Danio rerio: one gene and its partners. The protein of the gene in region 3 purifies or fractionates together with the protein of the main gene of each other region. This does not show direct contact. Links are inferred from orthologs where the notes say so. Each region holds a gene or a part of one and is shown on either strand. Other genes may lie near its edges.

Region 1 (4,339 bases), on a different chromosome or scaffold from region 3:
GAGCTAAGTTAAACTTTGCTAATGTTTAACACGGTGACACTCTTAAATCAAAAATAAAAGATCCAAATTTAGCTGTACACACTAAGCATAATCAGTTGTGGTTTAAAAAAAAAAGAGCATAGTGGAATGTATAGATTTTTCTTTTAACACCCCACCACTGTGCATTGAAACAACGGCCATCCAGTTATGGGGCTGTCCTTGTCTTTTTTGAGAATGTTGAAATCACAGTGTCAACAAAAATCTTAAAAAGAATATGTCCTGTGGTAAGGCATTGCAGAGAAAATGGGATTCAATAGCAAACTTCAAGTACAAATGAAGTGTGCCATTTGAGATCGGGCCAATATCATTCCACTGTGTCTTTATCATTATAGTCATGTCGATTCTCAAAATTGTCCTGAGAGAATGTTGTTGTATAGTTTTAGGACAACATTGGTGGTGCAATGTTTTGATCCAATTCAGACAACTATTGCACTTTAATACAACAGTTATTGTTCATGATGTGAATGGGCCTTTACATAAGATTGTCTTTTACGCACAAATTCCTGATGTCTCAAAACAGTAAAAGTGGAAATGTTTTGTTGTGTGAAACATCATAGCAAATACAGTATATCCTGACAACTGTATTCTATAACTTTCCTGTTTTCAGTTCCTATTTTATTTCATTTTTTATTTTGGAATTTTGGGAAAGTTATTACTCTAAACCTAAACTAATAAAAAGCAACAAAACACATTTCAGAATCCACTCTGTTTATTAACATTAATGTGTGTGTGTGTGTGTGTGTGTAAGCCTATACAACAGAATCACGCTGAGGAAATTATTTCTTTTTAGTGCATTGATCCACTGATTAATATTAACGAGGCATACCAGAAACATTTGTCTCTGAAATAATAACATAAATACAGTGGGGAAAAAAGGATTTTATCAAAAAAAAAAATCTTAAATGGACTGATGGTTGATTCCTGTGAATTGTTCTGTAGAGGAATGTGCCATTCATTCATACTCATTTGGTGACGTCATTTGATGGAGTAGAAGCTGACAGTGATCAAGGATGCAATTTATCATCGATTTTTATGATTTTATGCTTTGTTTTGTAGGATTTGTTTGAAGGAGGACAAGCTTAAGTTAGACCCTGTTACGTTTTTTTTATTAGTGAACATGTATATGTTTTTGAAAGAATGTCTCTATTAATAATAACTAATTTATAGATGGGAAAAAGATAAAGCATTAAACTACCAATATCTTTAATAAATCACAAAACAAATTGTTAACATGTATATATGTTAAGAGGGAAAACGTATCAATAACATCAAAACAACACAAATGGTGTACGTGGATAAATAGAAGGGCGCCGTATTAAATTCATTTTTTATCTGCATCAGATATGAAATGAGAGACTTAAATTCAATAAGAAAAAATGAAAGAGGTTAAACGTGGATAAACACAAATATGTATATCCCGAGGTGAAGTCAGGATCGCGGATATCCGCGCATGTCCAGTTACAGAGGGCAGGTTGGGATGGGCGCTTGAGCTGGAAAAATACATCATCCACCCGAATGAGCTCATCGGTTATCATTTCAAACACACAAAAAAACGTTTATTTGGGTCTCAAAAAAGGCTCACAAACCCGCGTCTGATAATGCCGGTAAGACTGTCATTTCTTATCTTCATTTATCATTATAATATGTGTTGTTATGCCCCACCTTCCCGTCATTCCTTTGCTTGCAACCGGAATTTCATGCAAATATTCACAGACTGTTATTTGACAGGCTTTTATGCCTTGCGTTTTACTACTATTGTTCCGTTTTATGATGCGTTTAATTGTTACGAGATGATTTTGTTCTTCCAATGGCCAGAAAGGTTTTGTGCACCTCAAGCTAGCAGCCTGCTAACGTTAACGTTAGTTATTAGCTTCGCCGCAAGCTCGTGGGCTTTAACGATATTTAAATTTATCAACGAGCCAGATTTACTTTTAGACTCATTTGAAATTGATTCAGGCAAGATTACTACAGCCCACAAGCTGTGTTATCTGTGAAAAAATGAACGTGTTTTTTTGTTGTCTGTTAAATTAGCTGTTAGCAGGCCGGGCGGTCTAACCCGCTGCTTAGCAACAGCTTTGAATCCACATCACCTATTTAATACACAAACAGCCAGTGACCTTTATTGTACAAGAGAACCCATATAGCTTATATGTTACAGTCTATGCTTACAACAAATGTAATAATTATAAATCTCTTCTTTCAACGAGCATGATCAATTGTAATGATACATTTAAATTAATTTTCTTTAAATGAAATAACATTTTGTCATCCTAAATTACACTCAAATATTAATTTGACACTTTTATTATGAAGGTTAACGACTTACTTAAAACTTACTTAAAAACTTACTTGCTGTAGCATATTCTTCCATTACATTATTTTTGTGAACAGGAGAAAACGTCATAATTGTCATACAAAATAGAAAGAAATAAAGTGAATATTATATTTCATAATCATAATTCTGACTATTCAGAAAGACAGACTTTTAAACTTAATTTTATGGCAGCAGCAAACTTCTACACACAGCTAGGGAGAAACATTTAGCGTAAATAAGTAATCTATATAGGCGACGTGATGGCGCAGTAGGTAGTGCTGTTGCCTCACAGCAAGAAGGTTCGAGCTCCGGCTGGGTCAGTTGGCGTTTCTGTGTGGAGTTTGCATGTTCTCCCTGTGTTCGCGTGGGTTTCCTCAGGGTGGTCAGGTTTCCTCCACAGTCCAAAGACATGCGCTACAGGTGAATTGGGTAGGCTAAATTGTTCGAGTGTGTATGGATGTTTCCCAGAGATGGGTTGCGGCTGGAAGGGCACCCCCTGCATAAAAACGTGCTAGATAATTTGGCGGTTCATTCCGCTGTGGCGACATCAGTACTATAAAGGGACTAAGCTGAAAAGAAAATGAATGAATTTGGATTTTTATTTATGGCCTGCTTACATATTGCTGACAAACAGATCATGTGTTTTTTGCAGAGCAATAAGCTGGACAAACCAGAGAAGCTGGAGGTGAGTGATAATGTGAAAGTGGTGGTGAGATGTCGTCCACTCAATGAGAAGGAGAAGATAATGGGACACAAGCAGTCCGTAACTGTGGACGAGATCAGAGGAACCATCACTGTGAACAAACTTGATATAAGCAGTGAGCCTCCAAAGACGTTCACCTTCGACACAGTGTTCGGCCCAGACAGTAAACAGCTGGATGTGTATAATTTAACAGCACGGCCCATCATAGACTCCGTATTAGAGGGTTACAATGGTAAGTAAAACCGTTTTGTCTGTTTGTCTGATCTTGCAGATAACAAATGTTTTGGTACATGTTTTGTAAATGTTGTACAACTTTTTTTTTAGGAAAGTCTTGCCATTTGCTATTTGTCTCAATTAAGTTGTAGTTATAATGCAGAATCAGATATTTAACAAGAAATAGTAAAATTGCACAAGCGATATACTGTAAGGGGTTTAAAGATTTGATGTTGCTCTGTAAAAAATGTGAGGCCTCTTATATCTGCTAATCAAAAAAACTTCTCATTCTGTTGTTTGTGCATTCACTTATTGTGCACAAAGTCAAGTAAGGCTGGGCCGATAAACGATATTATATCAAACCGCTCTAAAGTTTTTGTCAGTAATGATGTACTCTGACCTTTTTTACTCTATATTGATCTAAGAGCCAATCACACAGCAGAAATGTTCAACAATGGGAATCTAAAAGTGTGCTGATATAAGAGATGTACTAAATTTTCGGCCACCGATCTGAAAATATGCTATGTCATTTAATGGATCCTCTAATTTTTGTGGCTTCAGCGATTGTTGGGCTACTCTTTTAAATCTGGAAGCTTTAATAGCTTCTATTGAAATGTACAGTATCGTTATCGTTCAATATGGACAATAGTTACTGAGACTTTTCACATTGTAGAGCTTGAAATGTTAATAACATTAACATAATTAAATAAATCTATTCCTGATGGACGTAAAAGTAAAGATGCAATTTTTTCCCTCTGTCTTACATATGCAGCATGTATATACCTGTAGATGTTCTGTCTTTCAAAGTAGTACAACAAAGTAATTTGATTAGTTGTACTACTTAGAAATGAAATATGGTTACAGTTTGTTTCACTGTACATATGAGCGCAACCAGAAGAAAACATCAGAAATCTCCTGTTGTTCATCACTCTTATGAAATATCCTAATTAATTCAGATTTAAATGTTCTAGTCATTGAAAAAGATACAATCACATCATCAATATTATAGAGCGGAGATGAATGAGCGAAGAACTCAATCTTAAAGGTCCCGTGAAGTGCTTTAAAATGTG
Region 2 (3,659 bases), on a different chromosome or scaffold from region 3:
GAAATGTCAACAGCAAATCTGTACAGGTCTTTGACATTTTATATGAGGAGCACTTCTCACAAACCAGATGCTTTATACACATAAATACTTGTGTATAAATGTTCATTACTAACCTTTATATGAACATGATTTGATTATATCTGCAGATCAATAATAACCTAATAAACAGCCTACTGTAATATCTGCAATTATTTAAAATAAAATACATAAATGCAACATATATGAACACACACAGCCCCTTACAGTCTCTGATTTGTTACCAAATACAGAAAAACTACACACAGCATACATTTAGTCCTTTTTTGGGTTCAAAAACAACATATAGCCCAGCCAGAGCAAACCTCTCAACTGTGTGCTGATTCTTCACCAGCACATATAAGCTCTGCTAGAGAGTAATTCCGTCATTCCCAGTTTATAATAGTCCAAAAGGCGATGATAATAGTTAAACATGGCAGTTTGTTCATGTTTTAGGTTGCTGAAAGAATCATTTGCTCCTTTGTTTTTCCGACTTCTTCTTCGTTTTTTTGCGCATCACTCTCGTTTATCCGTTTTTGAAAGAATCTCAGAAGCACTTCAATAATCATGCACATTTTATTATCATCAACTCAAAAAGTTCGTTATTTCAAATATACACGAGCGGCGAGCGATCGCAAGCTCTGCAGAGAAAGTGAACCCACTGGCGCTTTAGACGACCTCGTACACAACAACACACACAGGTTCTGCTCTTCTTGGCTTTATGGCTGTTCATCAAAATGACGACAAGGTTTTGTTTGAACTCGGGTCGACCATGGCTCATCATTATATGTATAAATTGTTACGTTGTAATGTCTTGGCTGTGTATTTAATAATGGTGCTTCCATTGTTTTCATTCTCCTGTCTTGTGAATGAGCTAGTGACGTCTCTCTGTAAACAAATAGCGTTCAGCTGCTGTCTCACTCTGCCTTTTGGTACCCTTTTGTTGTGCTAGATGTTATGGTACGATTCGCTTTCTGGTACCTTTTAAAGGTGAAAACGGCCATTAAAGTGGACCGAACCGTACCGTACCACTCAGTGGAAACAGGCCATAAAAGAACTACATTTGAAATGACTTTTTAAGACTCAATGTTGCAACTTTTTGGTGTATCATGTTCTTTACTATCTTTTATATTTCTAACTTTATAATTATCATTTAGAACAAAAATTAATAACTTTTATATATTTATTTCTGGGGTTTTTATTTTGCTCTAATTAGAAAGGGATTTGTGCACCTTGAGTGTTGTGGGCTATATAAATAGAAGTCTATTCACTGATTCCACAAATATTAATGTGGAATACTAAAGGCTATATAAATAGTGAAAATATTAATAGTGAATAGTGAATAATATTATATTAATAATATTAATGTTAATATAAATAGTGAATTAATATTAATGTGAAATACTATAAGGGCTATATAAATAGAAGTCTATTTACTGAAATACTAAAGGCTATATAAATAGTGAAAATATTAATAGTGAATGGTGAATAATATTATATTAATAATATCAATATTAATATAAATAGTGAATTAATATTAATGTGAAATACTATAAGGGCTATATAAATAGAAGTCTATTTACTGAAATACTAAAGGCTATATAAATAGTGAAAATATTAATAGTGAATGGTGAATAATATTATATTAATAATATTAATGTTAATATAAATATTGAATTAATATTAATGTGAAATACTATAAGGGCTATATAAATAGTAAAAATATTAATAGTGAATAGTGAATAATATTATATTAATAATATTAATGTTAATATAAATAGCGAATTAATATTAATGTGAAATACTATAAGGGCTATATAAATAGAAGTCTATTTACTGAAATACTAAAGGCTATATAAATAGTGAAAATATTAATAGTGAATGGTGAATAATATTATATTAATAATATCTATATTATTATAAACAGTGAATTAATATTAATGTGAAATACTATAAGGGCTATATAAATAGAAGTCTATTCACTGATTCCACAAAATATTAATGTGAAATACTAAACTATTTATGATAAAACACTGGGATTGTGTCATTTAAAAATCAATATAAAGAAGTTTTAAAATGGCACCTTTTTGTTCGTTTGTTCTGTTTATTTTATGGTATTTTTATTGTTTAATTGGAAATGTCATCAGTAGTTTGCAGAATAAACTAAATTTTATGTTACATAAAATAATTTCAAAATATGCTTGAAAATTGGCATGTGTTTCTGTGAAGGTTGGGATTAGGGGAAGTTAGGCCAGAGACAGTAACTTTAACCTGATATAAAAAACAATGAAGGTCCACGTAATGTCCTCACTAAGAATGTGTGTGTATATTGCATATTTTTTGAAAATGAAGTTGTTCTTATAAATTGTATACAAGTTGTATAAACCCACATGTAACTAACACAATCTTGGCAGAGAGAGAATTGTAGACAAAACAACTTGTAGCAAAAAATGTATCTTTCCTTATCTTGAACATTAACCCAAATTTCATTCTGCCAACTGCACTCAAAAGCAGCCTGCCAGATACATCTTCCTCTTAATAGATACTCTCCCTCTCCGGCCACCCACAGTGTTCTCAGCCTGTATGTGTATTAAACTCTTGACATCTGTAATGTAGTAGAGCTGAGTCCAGATTTCCAAGCAGTTTGTCTCATCAGCGAGACTCAATTAGGTCAAAACGTTTTAGATGTTACTTTTTAAAATTCAGCTTCCACATTGAAACACTGACCACTGAAACTAAATAAAAGTGAATATCCATTGTACATAATGTAAAATATTGCTATAATGCTAATAATAAGAGTTTTATGGGTTCACATACTTGAGTTTAAGTTCTCTGGTCAGTTCATTCTGAGTCTGTTCCAGTTCCTGTCTGTATTTCACGTGCTCATCCTGGGCATCCTGAATCTCTGACTTTACAGACTGAAGCTTGGAAAAGAGCTGTAGGAAAGGCACAAAAACAAACAGGACATGATAAAATGAGGCTCTTCATAGGAATAGGCAAGGCATTCGCTTTGTAAACTCCAGCTAAACGAGGTCAAATTCATTCACGTATGGATGAATTTTAACAAGGAGGTTGGAGATCTGCCATGAGAGCTGTCCTACTATCAATGACTCCAGAGAATACAGCTAGACTCTAATAATACATCTGATCACATACAGAAGCGGTTTTCATAATGTCATTTTACCAAGATATAATACGACAGATCATATACAGGGGCCTTGTGATTTGTACGATGCATAAAACATGAACAGAATCATAGAAGCCAGTCAAAGCTTGGAATCTGGCAAAACGTGGATAACCATTTATAAGGCTGGATTAGAGCTGCAAAATTAATCGTTAAAAGATCGCGATCTCGATTCGACCCTCTAACGATCTTAATCCAGCATTTCTACGATTCTGTCAATCATATTTTCAAGTTCAGGAGAGAAAAAAAGGCGGCTGCACGGGTCTGTTTATTGTTTCACATACGTTGCTCAGTGACACTGACACCTCTAAATAATGTTGAACGAGTCACATAATGTATTTATAAGGTATAATTCACCTAAAAATGTAATTTTTGACTTCATATAATGATGTTTTCGCGGCCGGGAAATCACACGTGACGTGAGCTGCTGGCTGTGAGCTGTTATCACAGAGAGGGCGCG
Region 3 (3,659 bases):
TTTTAGCAAAAATAAATAGTAAACCACTAATATAATCTGTGCATTGCATTAAGCACAAAAATACAGTATAAGAAAAAGAATTATGGAGCTTTACAACGGTTAACCCTCTGACTATAGAGTACATATATACTATTAATATAGTAACTTCTATAAATAGTTGACCACACATACACATAATTGAGACTTTACATTACATAAATGCTGAACCTTATTTTGTGGATTTTGATGGGTTGTGACAGTGAAAAATTATGTTGAAATTTCAGCTTTTTATCATAGGATAAGGTTATATTAAAATTGTGATTTATGAAAGTGGTATAAAAATGTAAAAAGAAAAAAGTATAGTTGTTAAAAAGTGAATAAACAGTACAAACTGTGTCTTCTGAGAACTTTAACAAAGTTCATACAAAATATTCTGAAGCCAGTTATATGCTGTATGGAGTTTCATTCAGTGTCAAAAATATGATTTTTAGTTAAAGGTGCCCTGTACTGCATTGATTCAGTAAGATAAGTTTTTTTTTCTGTGATATCTAAATAATAGGGAAGTGCCCTAATTAAGTTAAGTTTAAAAAAAAAAAAAACTTTAGAAATGGTTTTATATGCTCATTTACTACTCCACAAAATGCCCCAAAAATCAGAAGCTCTATATTGACCATGCATGTTTGGAATGGTCGCTATCTGACACAGGTCTCAGGCCCCGTTTACACTAATACCTTTTAGTTTTAAAACAGTGTTTTAGAATGAAAATGATCCGCGTCCACACTAGCATTTTACCCAGCGTTTCTGAACAGCTCTTAGTCTATACTACACCGCTGTAAATGCACATCACGTGACCACACACACACTCTGGCATGCATTGCAGCGTGCTTTGAGCACATTACCCATATATGAGCTGTGCGCGTCAGACTGTTCATCAAGAATCTACTGCGGGAGCTAATCTTACTATATTTGTTAACGTGATATTTAATTAATCTTGTTGTCTATATCTAACCACATATTCCCAGACTTTGGACTTTTAAATCTATTACTTTTTATAATAGTCATAATTAATAATTAAACTTATTTTGAGCAAAAGAGAGGGTATATATCGTATTTTCAATAAAAAATGAAAGGAGGCAGTTAAGTTATAGGAACCATTTTGTTATAAATATGCATACAGTGAAAATGACGCTTATATAAATATGCTGCTACACAACGCCTCAACATTTTTGGTGTCTGTTTAGTTAATATTAAAATAAAAATAGGCAGTTCTTCATTTCAGGTTTTCATTTTATTGTTGAGAAAGTGAAACAACATAGCCGGGGTGATATGAATGAGGTTATAGAGTACACGTTTCCCTTTGAAGATTTACCCGACGTGTCCTCAGGAGTTTTTGATGTTTTCCATATCAAACTTTTGAAGTCTGAACTTACAAGGAGATGATGCAAGACTGAACTGTGTGTAAGCTACTCTATATACTGTCCAAACCGTATATCATATTGCCCTCACCCCACCCCTAAACCCAACCATCAGGAGACTGTGTGCAGCTTTACTCTCTGATTAAACTCATTCTGTAGGATTCATAAGCATTTTGAGAAATGAGGATGTCACCAATGTCCTCATATTTCACCTCCTTTTTGCAATACCTGTGTCATACCCATGTCATTATATAGATTTTTGTCCTGATATGTCACAAAAACACGTACAGACACACACACAAACACACACACAAACACACACACACACACACACACACACACACACACACACACACACACACACACACACACAGTGTGATGAACTGAAATTAAAATATTTGGTTTGTCAAAAAATATTTTAACAAACAATTTAAAAAGACTTATAAGGAGTGAGTGAGCTATCAAATATAAACCCATTAGAGTAAATCATTTTGATCCTGAGTTGTGTTGTAGGTAATAGCCGGTTAAGTAAACTTTTAAAGAGTGTTTTTGACTGCTTAATAACATGACAATTCTTATGTAAAACAAAATGGCCTTGAATACAAAAATGTATACAGATTATGGTTGTATTATAAGTGTATAGGTTTAATGTATACCAGTAATTAGTATGTATTAAATGTATTTCAGAAACTGCACTTGGAGCTCTGGCTCGCGTACTGAGAGAGGACTGGAAACACAGTGTGGAGTTAGCAACTACCATCATCTATGTATTTTTCTGCTTCTCAAGGTACACAATTTCTTTACAGTTTATTGCTCTTGACAACAGCCTTGCTGTTTTTTTTGTTTTTGTGGTGCTTTAACAGGGCAGCTTGCTGATGAATGCAGATTAAAAGTACTGTCAGCACTGTGAACTCTCTGAGAAGTTATGTCTCTAAATTCAACAGTTTTAAAACATAATTTCTACAACCAACAAAACAACTTCAAACTATATTTTGATTGTTTATGAGGACTTTGTGCAGTAATAATTCACAGACATGTGCTGATTCAAAACACACTAGAACGATAGGATTGTGTGACACTGAAGTAAACATGCTTAAATTTCAGTTTTCTTATATATTTTAAATAAATGCCAGGAAAGTTATATTTTAAAGGGATAGTTCTCTCAAAACGATTTTTTTTTTGTTCTGCTGAAAGATATTTAAAGATAGCTAGAAACTTCCTTTAAAATTTCTGGCCATCGTAACAAACCTGTAACCATTGACTTCCATTATAAATGTTTTTCCTACTATGGATGTCAATGGCAATAGGTTTCCAACATTCTTCAAAATATCTTCATTTGTGTTCAACAAAACAAAAAAAAACTAACTGCTTTGGAACAAGTCAATTGTAAATAATTCATGGCAGAATTTTCATTTTTGTGTGAACTATTTAAATTACTATACTATTCATGACAATATTTGTATTCACAGTTGTATTTTATTTTAAATAAATAAAAAATAAATGCAGCCCTGATCAGTAAAAAAAAAGCCTTCTTTAAAAACAAAACAAAAAATCTTTTGAACATTATTGAAGTGAGAGAATTACACAGCATATTGTATTTCAGAGCAGTAGTGCGATTTCTCTATTTAGCATTTTTCTTTCTTGTAATCATTCTCTTTTATAAGCCTTAAAGAAACCCGTCATACAGTACATTCTCAAAACATCTTTAGTGGCCGCAGATCAGGTTACTGCTTTTCTGAGATAGCTGTCAGCATTTATTCGAGCAATGCAAGTGTGCCTTCTGATTTGAAGGTTTTCCTTGGCCCTCACCATCAGATGGCTAATGTGGAAATTTCTTTCCGCGAGCGAGAATGACTTTGACGTTTGAAGGATGTATTTGAAATGTATGATGAGTTGTTTGGTCTGATCTTTCAGCTCTGTTTATTCACTAATCAGAACTAGAGTATGAAATTCATCTGGCACGTCAGACTCTGCATACTGGCCGTCGTCTAGATTGTATCTCTGAATGTGCCAGGAGAGGTCGAAGGAGGACAGGCCATCATGACTTTGTCTTTCCTGCAGTTTTTCTCAATTCCATGGGCTCATTACACATTATAAGATCGGAGCGCTGTGTATGAACGTCATCGAACATGAGCTGAAGAAATATGACCTGTGGCAGGACGAGTTGGAGAAGAAGAGCAAAGCTTATATCCTTTCTGTCAATCTCTCTTTTTTTAGCAAATTTTTAGCAAAAAAGCTAACAAAAATAGTTCAGACTAAGCAAGT

Evidence for each region.
Region 1: the proteins of kifap3b (region 3) and kif3a purify together in Homo sapiens (co-immunoprecipitation; 9 studies listed by BioGRID and IntAct, counting the BioPlex papers as one, with this or other methods). This does not show direct contact. The link is inferred for Danio rerio from reciprocal best matches to the Homo sapiens genes KIFAP3 and KIF3A.
Region 2: the proteins of kifap3b (region 3) and kif3b purify together in Homo sapiens (co-immunoprecipitation; 7 studies listed by BioGRID and IntAct, counting the BioPlex papers as one, with this or other methods). This does not show direct contact. The link is inferred for Danio rerio from reciprocal best matches to the Homo sapiens genes KIFAP3 and KIF3B.

The regions. Positions count from the first base shown.
Region 1 is NC_133189.1:28,240,021-28,244,359, forward strand, and holds the start of kif3a (kinesin-like protein KIF3A), read left to right. Parts: upstream 1-1,499; 5' UTR 1,500-1,637; coding exon 1,638-1,643; intron 1,644-3,005; coding exon 3,006-3,288; intron 3,289-4,339. UniProt on the Homo sapiens protein: Microtubule-based anterograde translocator for membranous organelles. Plus end-directed microtubule sliding activity in vitro. Plays a role in primary cilia formation. Plays a role in centriole cohesion and subdistal appendage organization and function.
Region 2 is NC_133198.1:7,795,819-7,799,477, reverse strand, and holds part of kif3b (kinesin-like protein KIF3B), read right to left. Parts: intron 2,952-3,659; coding exon 2,833-2,951; intron 1-2,832. UniProt on the Homo sapiens protein: Microtubule-based molecular motor that transport intracellular cargos, such as vesicles, organelles and protein complexes. Uses ATP hydrolysis to generate force to bind and move along the microtubule. Plays a role in cilia formation.
Region 3 is NC_133177.1:26,558,970-26,562,628, forward strand, and holds part of kifap3b (kinesin-associated protein 3b), read left to right. Parts: intron 1-2,081; coding exon 2,082-2,181; intron 2,182-3,455; coding exon 3,456-3,580; intron 3,581-3,659. UniProt on the Homo sapiens protein: Involved in tethering the chromosomes to the spindle pole and in chromosome movement. Binds to the tail domain of the KIF3A/KIF3B heterodimer to form a heterotrimeric KIF3 complex and may regulate the membrane binding of this complex.